Linked DNA regions of Nothobranchius furzeri. The protein of the gene in region 1 purifies or fractionates together with the protein of each later gene. This does not show direct contact. Links are inferred from orthologs where the notes say so. Each region holds a gene or a part of one and is shown in the gene's direction. Other genes may lie near its edges.

Evidence for each region.
Region 2: the proteins of lin37 (region 1) and e2f4 purify together in Homo sapiens (co-immunoprecipitation; 4 studies listed by BioGRID and IntAct, with this or other methods). This does not show direct contact. The link is inferred for Nothobranchius furzeri from reciprocal best matches to the Homo sapiens genes LIN37 and E2F4.

The regions. Positions count from the first base shown.
Region 1 is NC_091745.1:37,814,549-37,818,633, forward strand, and holds the start of lin37 (protein lin-37 homolog), read left to right. Parts: upstream 1-1,240; 5' UTR 1,241-1,893; coding exon 1,894-1,927; intron 1,928-2,062; coding exon of another isoform or gene 2,063-2,066; coding exon 2,067-2,142; intron 2,143-2,212; coding exon 2,213-2,263; intron 2,264-2,381; coding exon 2,382-2,411; intron 2,412-2,861; coding exon 2,862-2,947; intron 2,948-3,026; coding exon 3,027-3,187; intron 3,188-3,703; coding exon 3,704-3,835; intron 3,836-3,955; coding exon 3,956-4,026; intron 4,027-4,085. Other genes in the region: proser3 (proline and serine-rich protein 3), read right to left, coding at 120-250, 331-551, 674-770, 841-851.
Region 2 is NC_091744.1:86,777,032-86,780,127, reverse strand, and holds the end of e2f4 (transcription factor E2F4), read left to right. Parts: intron 1-466; coding exon 467-548; intron 549-1,676; coding exon 1,677-1,823; intron 1,824-1,958; coding exon 1,959-2,006; intron 2,007-2,127; coding exon 2,128-2,172; intron 2,173-2,254; coding exon 2,255-2,370; 3' UTR 2,371-2,585; downstream 2,586-3,096. UniProt on the Homo sapiens protein: Transcription activator that binds DNA cooperatively with DP proteins through the E2 recognition site, 5'-TTTC[CG]CGC-3' found in the promoter region of a number of genes whose products are involved in cell cycle regulation or in DNA replication.

The DNA.
Region 1 (4,085 bases):
ACGTTCGGGCATGGGAAAGGATCCAGCGGAAAGTTTGTCACAGAAATTTTACACAACCCACGAGCTTGTAATATTTACTGTGTCGTGTGACTAAACACAGCAGAAGTTAAAAATAATACCACTGTTTGATGCTTTAGTAGGAGTTGAACTGTGGACTGATGAGTTAAACATCCACCCAAACGGCATCTGCTCTTCTCCAGCCACCTGCTGCCGTTTCTGAGGCTGACTGTGGCCAAAGCGCTCGATGTGTCTGTAACAAAAACACGTCATGGCTTTGTGAGGCCCACAAATTCAATCATCTCTACGGTGAAAAAACACCAGCAGATTTACTTTGCCATCACGGAATCATCCTGAACTCCTGAGGAAACTGTTGATGTCTCTGGTCTGGCAGGCAGATCGCACGCCAGCATTTCAGGAGAGGACCTGTAGTCAGTGGTGGGCCAGATTTCTGTAAAAACATCTCCACCATCGTGACTCTCCTGTAGCTGTTGGCTTCCTCCATTCTGGGAGTGACACTGTTTCCTAGAGCTCTGGCTGGGATGCACAGGACTCTGCAAAGAGCATAATAATAATAATAATAATAATACTAAAATAAAATAAATCACGTCCCAAATGCTGGACTAAAAAACACAAACATGAGTAAAGGTAAGAAATGTTGGCAAAGCTGACATACATCTGTCTTTGGCAGGGATTGCTTGCGGGATGGATGATGAGCTCTTCTCACAGAGGATGCAGGTGTGAAGGGATTCTTCCTTGCAAACACAGATCCACTATAAAAACAACCATTAGAGATAAAACTATTGTTTATGGTGGTATAAAAAGGAGCTTGTTGGATCTTACCTGGATTTCATAACTATTGAAGAACGGAAAATGTTCTCTTCCTTGTTTTAACCCTAGTGTTCTCACTAGGCGTCGTGAGTTACCATGGACTCCAACGCTACAAATCACCTTTAAGTTAGGAAATTAAAACAGCTACACGCAGCCGCATCTACTACAGACTCAGATTTCCTAAGTTTATAAAACTATAAAAAGGGTGACAAAACACAAAAGCGTCACGCTTTTTTGGTGTTTGCCACACCACTCAGCCAATAAAATCCTCGCTAAAATGGCGCACATGTCATTTGTCCAATCACAGTGGTTTGAACAAGCACCAATCAGCTATTCGGGTGTTACATCAAGATGTGTTCCCCGCCGGAAGTGTTTTCTTTCCCTGCGTCACTCATTTTTATATTTAATCTCTGGTCTTTAAAGCAACGTTATTTTAAGAAAATAGCCAGATAATATCTTAGTAATCTATTATGTTATTTTTGTGCATTCCAGCACGGCAAACAAATCATCAGGGCAGGAGGGGAAAAACTCTGTGTTTAGGTGAGACATAAGCTCGCGGTTACGCCACTCATAAAACTGACTCACTAATTCATAAAATAGACATCCCTTGTGTTTTTATTATGTATCTCGGAAAAAAGTACACATTTTACCGGGAGATGGCTAAAACACTACCAAGTGGGAACGGTTTTCAACCAGGGAACACATTTCGGGGTAACACCTGTTACGCGGAAGTTTGTAGAAGCAAGCTGAAGTTACATTAGCAACTATAGCTGAGCTAATACCTTCCACAGTTCGAATAATAAAACCAGTTGTCTGTACTATTTGAAGCAAATTATTGAAAGTTGTTTTGTCTAAATCATTAGGATAAAATAATATTTTTGCCATAGAATTTCTTCACTTTTTCTTTTACGAATAATCAGTTGGTTAAGCGCTGCTATGTAAGTCAGCTAATGGTGCTGTTGGCAAACAGCCGTTGCAGCCAGGATACCAGGACCCTTTGTTAGAGATCAAACAAGAATTAATTTCAACATTAAAAAAGGTTACAAAAGTGCTGAAAAGAAGACAATGCACCACATCAAGATAAAGACTGAACGGCTAGGTGAGATATACCCACAATATAACATTGGTTATAATTTCGTTCGCTATTTGTGCTTGCTTTAAAGATACAATATACATAACATTAGAGCCCAAAAACGAGAGACCTAGCTCTAAATCGATCTGCTTTTTATGTTACCTAGATGCAGAGAACACCGCTGCACGCAGCAAGTTGGATGCTGTGTTAAAGGGTCTTGTAGAGAAGAGCGAAAATGAGAGGTTAGTAAAACACACTTGACCATAGCTATGCTTTCAAATGATTAAATGCTTTTAATTGTACTCTCATCAGAGAACCAAATGAGGGTGATCCAGGAAAATTATCAGTGGACTCCTTGCACAAGTATGGATTAGTTTTTTTGTGATTTTATCTTTTTATTATGAAGAAGGATTCACACTTTATTTTTAAACAGCTGTAACAGTGTTTCAGTGCAATCATGGAATGCTCTTGTTATCTCTAGGGATTTGTCTCCATCTTCTGCTGGAAAGAGGTAATAATCAGTACTATGTTCTGTAAATGCGCAATAAATGTGCAATACCCAGAGATGCACATTTATATGTGTCTTTTATGCTTTTTCTCCTTGAAAACAGTTATGAATTTTCTATTTTATTCTGTTTTTATGCATTTATTTTGTTGCTGAAGGTTATGGTAATAGCCCAATACTCTTGTGTGTTTACCTGTATTATATTTTCCTATGTCTGTGTGTATGTGCTGCCCTAACAAGTAAATTTCCTCACTGTGGGATCAGTAAAGTCTATTCAAATACCTCATACAATTCTAAATACCTCATACACATACTTGATTTTCTTGTTTTTTTTATTGCAGCATAATTTTTTATCTGCACACATCGTTATATGAATTCAGTTATTTAGTACAGAAAATATTTCAGTTTTTTAAGCCTTTTTGCAAGTCCTCATGTTTGTTTTCATTTTATTTTCAGACCTTCAGCAAGATTTCCACAGCATCGAAGGAAGAAACGGAAGGAGATGGATGAGGGCATACCAGAAACCAATCCGCATAAACAAAGTAAACTCAACTCACATTCCATTAAATGACACGGTAGTATTATTTACCCTGATGTGTGTTTCCTTTGCCTTTGTTCTAGATGCTTATGTTATTAAGTTGTTTGATCGCAGTGTTGATTTGGCTCAGTTTAACACCAGCACCCCTTTATATCCAATTTGCCGTGCCTGGATGAGAAACAACCCTTCTGTTCGAGAGCCAACAGCTTCCCCAAACTCCCCACACAGCATGTTGGAGGAAGAAGTAAGGCTGCACATTCCTGTCATCATTATTTAATTGATTTAATTTTGTTTAAAGGAAATGAAAGCAAAACAACCATAAGAGAAAAAGTGTGTATAGTTTACAAAATATTTCTTCTAATTTAATTGTTTAAAATAAGTTTCATTGTACACAATTTGTGTGAAAATAATATTTGTCTCCTACCCCTCTTCACAATTAAATTATTATTATTATTGTAATTGTTGTTTACCAAGTTATGAACTTTATTTAATTGTAAATTTAACTTGTGATTGTCAGTCTGCATGTTTGTGTAATTTCCTTGAAAAGTTAATGGTTTTTAAGTGCATCGAGTTTGAAAAGCAGTGTAATATATTAATGAAACTTACAAACTGTGTGTTTTTTCATTGCCTAAAACAAATTTATGAATTTTGAAATGAGTCGAGATTTTACCAGTAAGTCCCCTAAAGATGGCAGTATTGCACCATCTCTTTAGCCATCATACCTGAGCTCTCTGTTATTTGTGTTCTATCCTTGCCCCAGGTAACAGACATGATAAACGGCAAAGGTCAGAATGTGTACCGACTCCCCCCTCCTGCTCCCAGCCCAGTTAGCCCTTCAGGTGAACCCATCAATCTCAGGATTCAACAAATTGAAAAACCCATCGTTACAAAGGTGCTTGAACGTTACATTTTTTTTCTCTTCGTTTTGTGTGTGTGTGTGTGAGAGAGAGAAATAGAATTGTACAAATCTTCAGATGTATAAAAATGGTGAATAAGGTTACTCTTTTCACAGTCAAGTGATGCTCCTGTGTCAGAATCCCTAATAAGTGACCACTTGGAACGCTGGAAAATGATAAGGCAGAAGTAAGTTCTTAGGAAAAATTTTATTTAATAAAAACTTTTGTTGCTCAGAATTCACCGTA
Region 2 (3,096 bases), on another chromosome or scaffold:
ATCGTGAATTGAACCGAAATCGCAGTTTCTGCCAGAAAAATTGCAATTCAGTCTTTTCCTAAAATCGTTCAGGCCAATAATAAACCTACGTCCCCCAGGCTGACGGTTTATAACCAACCAGGCTCAGACAGGTCCTCGGCAGACTGATGGGAAACGTATTTAACGGTCAGGTTTTTCTCTTCAAACGTTCAAACTTCTCAAGTTTGGTAAAAAATAGTTAATTAATGTTAAGGCCACAGTTTTGATTCAGTAAAAGCAGCTAAGATGGGAAAAAACCTTCTGCTTTGAATTTCAAGTGTGTGGCCATTTGTTTTACTTTACCATGAATTACAGAAATTTCTTAACATAGAATTTATTCTAAAGGATTACTGTAAGGTGTCCATTTAAATGTGAGCGATAGTCTCCTTCGTTACATTTGGCGTTTTGTGCAATGCTGACGTTTCTTCTGTTCCATTTTCCCCTCCAGGGTCCCAAAGGAGTTCCAGACACGGCCACAAAAGCAGCTCCTGCCTTAACACCAGCTTCTGCAGCCAACCAGACGACAACAGGTGGGGAACGTTTTAAAGGTGTAGTTCACTGAAAAACGTTTTTGATGATTATTTTTGTTCATAATCAGTCACTCTGAGTTTTTCCATGCAAGCTGAACATGAAAAAAGTCTCCTACACCTATGTCCTGCATCAGCGTCTGACAGTGGTTCTCAGTCCCGGTCCTGGAGAGCTGCTAACCAGCATGTTTGAACCACCTGTGCAGCAGCCTGTTAGTTTCCTGCTGATTGAATTCAGTTTGTTAAAACAGTTAAAACGGACGACGTGCTGATACCGGCCCTCCAGGTCCGTAATTTAGTACCACGGCTCTTGGATTAGAAAATCCTGACAAATCTACGTCACCCTGTCACTAACATTCATGGATTCACTCATCTGGACTCACGACGGGGAAGGCTGTTGTTGGTTTAGCGTCCAGGAAACGGCAGATAACTCCTCAGCTAGTAGAAGCTAACCGTTAGCATTAGCAACTCCACCACACAGCAGAACTCCTTCAGGCTTGTGTTATTTGTGGAGATAAAACATCAACGTTGCAGAGCAGCCAGAGTCAGTGGTAGAGTCGTGTTGCTGTTATCCAATCAGAGGCGAGATGTCCACATATCAGGAAGTAAGACTCCTGTCGCGTTAAGCTCTCCTTTGATGTAGCATTCTGCTAGTTCCTGAAACAAGCGCATCTGAGCTTTGTTTCCCCCGAGTACGACTTGAAAGGCATTTGTTCCTACTAGAGACTGCTGCACATGTAGTGATTAAGCAAGTAGCTCAGGAGGTAGAGTGAGCAGGTTGTCCAGAAATCGGAAGGTTCCAGGTTCGATCCCGGCTCCGACCAGAGAATGCTGCTGTTGAGTCCTTGGGCAAGACACTTAACCCAGCTTACCTGCTGGTGGTGGTCGGAGGGCCCGGTGGTACGTGTGTACGGCAGCCTCGCCTCTGTCAGTGCGCCCCAGGGCAGCTGTGGCTACATCGTAGCTCATCCCCACCAGCGTGTGAACGTGTGAATGACTGATTGTGTTGTGAAGCGCCTTGGGGGGTTGTATACAGAAACGGGCCTTTTACCGAGTGAATTATTTTCTGCTGCTTCTTCACTTCCCTCTGGAGTTTCTCACATTAACGTTGTGTCTCTGGTTTTGTTTCAGAGGCGCCGAGCACCACTCCTCTCAGCCCCGCATCACGCACACCTGCTGCTCCTCCTCAGCAGCTACAGTCATCCGCCTCTTTGGACGGATCCGCGTCGTCCTCTGTCTCTGCTGCGTTTGAACCAATGAAGTCGGATCCATCTGAATGTGAGTGTCGGGCTCTTCTAAAGCTGTGAAGGACATTTCAGAATAAGTTTTGATTGTTTTGTTTGCAGATTACATTTCAGAAAAGTTTAGTAAAAAGTGTTTTTGCAACCGTTTTACTGAAATGTTTCCCTTCAGTGTTGGACTTTCCCAAAGAGCTTTCAGACATGTTTGATCCAACTAAAGGTAAACCATTTCAGCCCTTCTTAAACCGTAAATTCAGTCACACGCGTCTCTACATGTAATAGAAAGTATTTCACGGGATGCAGCAGCTGGTAAATATGGATTTACTTTGTTTTTCTGAAAGAAATCATGAGTGGAGACCTGCTGGAGGACTTGATGTCATCAGAAGGTGAATATGATTACAGACAAAGCAGCAACATCATCACGAACAAACTGTCTTTGTGTAATTCCTGTTTGTGTTTCGCCCTCAGTGTTCTCGCCTCTCCTTCGTCTGTCCCCTCCTCCCAGTGATCATGACTACATTTACAATTTGGATGAGACAGAAGGTCTTTGTGACCTCTTTGATGTGCCCATTCTCAACCTTTGACCTTTGATTTAAACAAAAACTGTTACCCAAATATGATTATCTGTCCTCATTCTCCTCAAGTCCTCCTGCCCTGTTTTCTCCGACAGCGAAGACTAGAAGAGGGGCAGGAAGTGCTCCGAGGACTCGGCTGCATCGGCAAAAAGAGCTCCAGCCGAGTTCAGACGGGAGCGCAGAAACAAAGACGAGGACAAAACATTTTACTTACAACTTTTCCAAGGAAAAACAAGAGTCGGAATTATATTTTTGGATTCTCGTGTACAAAAAAAATTATGCTTGCGTGTCAGCTTTCCCATATGCCTGAATGTGTGTGTGGGTGGGTGGGTGGGTGAGTGAGTGAGTGAGTGTGTGTGTGTGAGAGAGTTTGCTTCTCTGAAATCGTGTCGGACATCCCCCAGGAATAAAAACAGATCCTTCTTTTCAGTCCGGTCAGGAGCTGAATAGTTTCGCTGAGTCAGCTGGTGACATATGCACTGTCCTCTTGTACATAGAGAATATATTTTTTGTATTACCTGCACACGAGGCTTATTAACAGCATTTCTAATGCAGACAGATATTTAGAAAACCAACACCAGGCCCAACAAACTGTTCTCTCCTGCATGACTAGAGCGGTGGATTTTCTGTCACGTTTAACCAAAACCGTTGGCATCAAGGTGCTCTCAACCACTTTTAGAAGAAGAACTTTAACTTATTTAAGCCAGTAGACTTTATGTAAAGAACCACATGGCT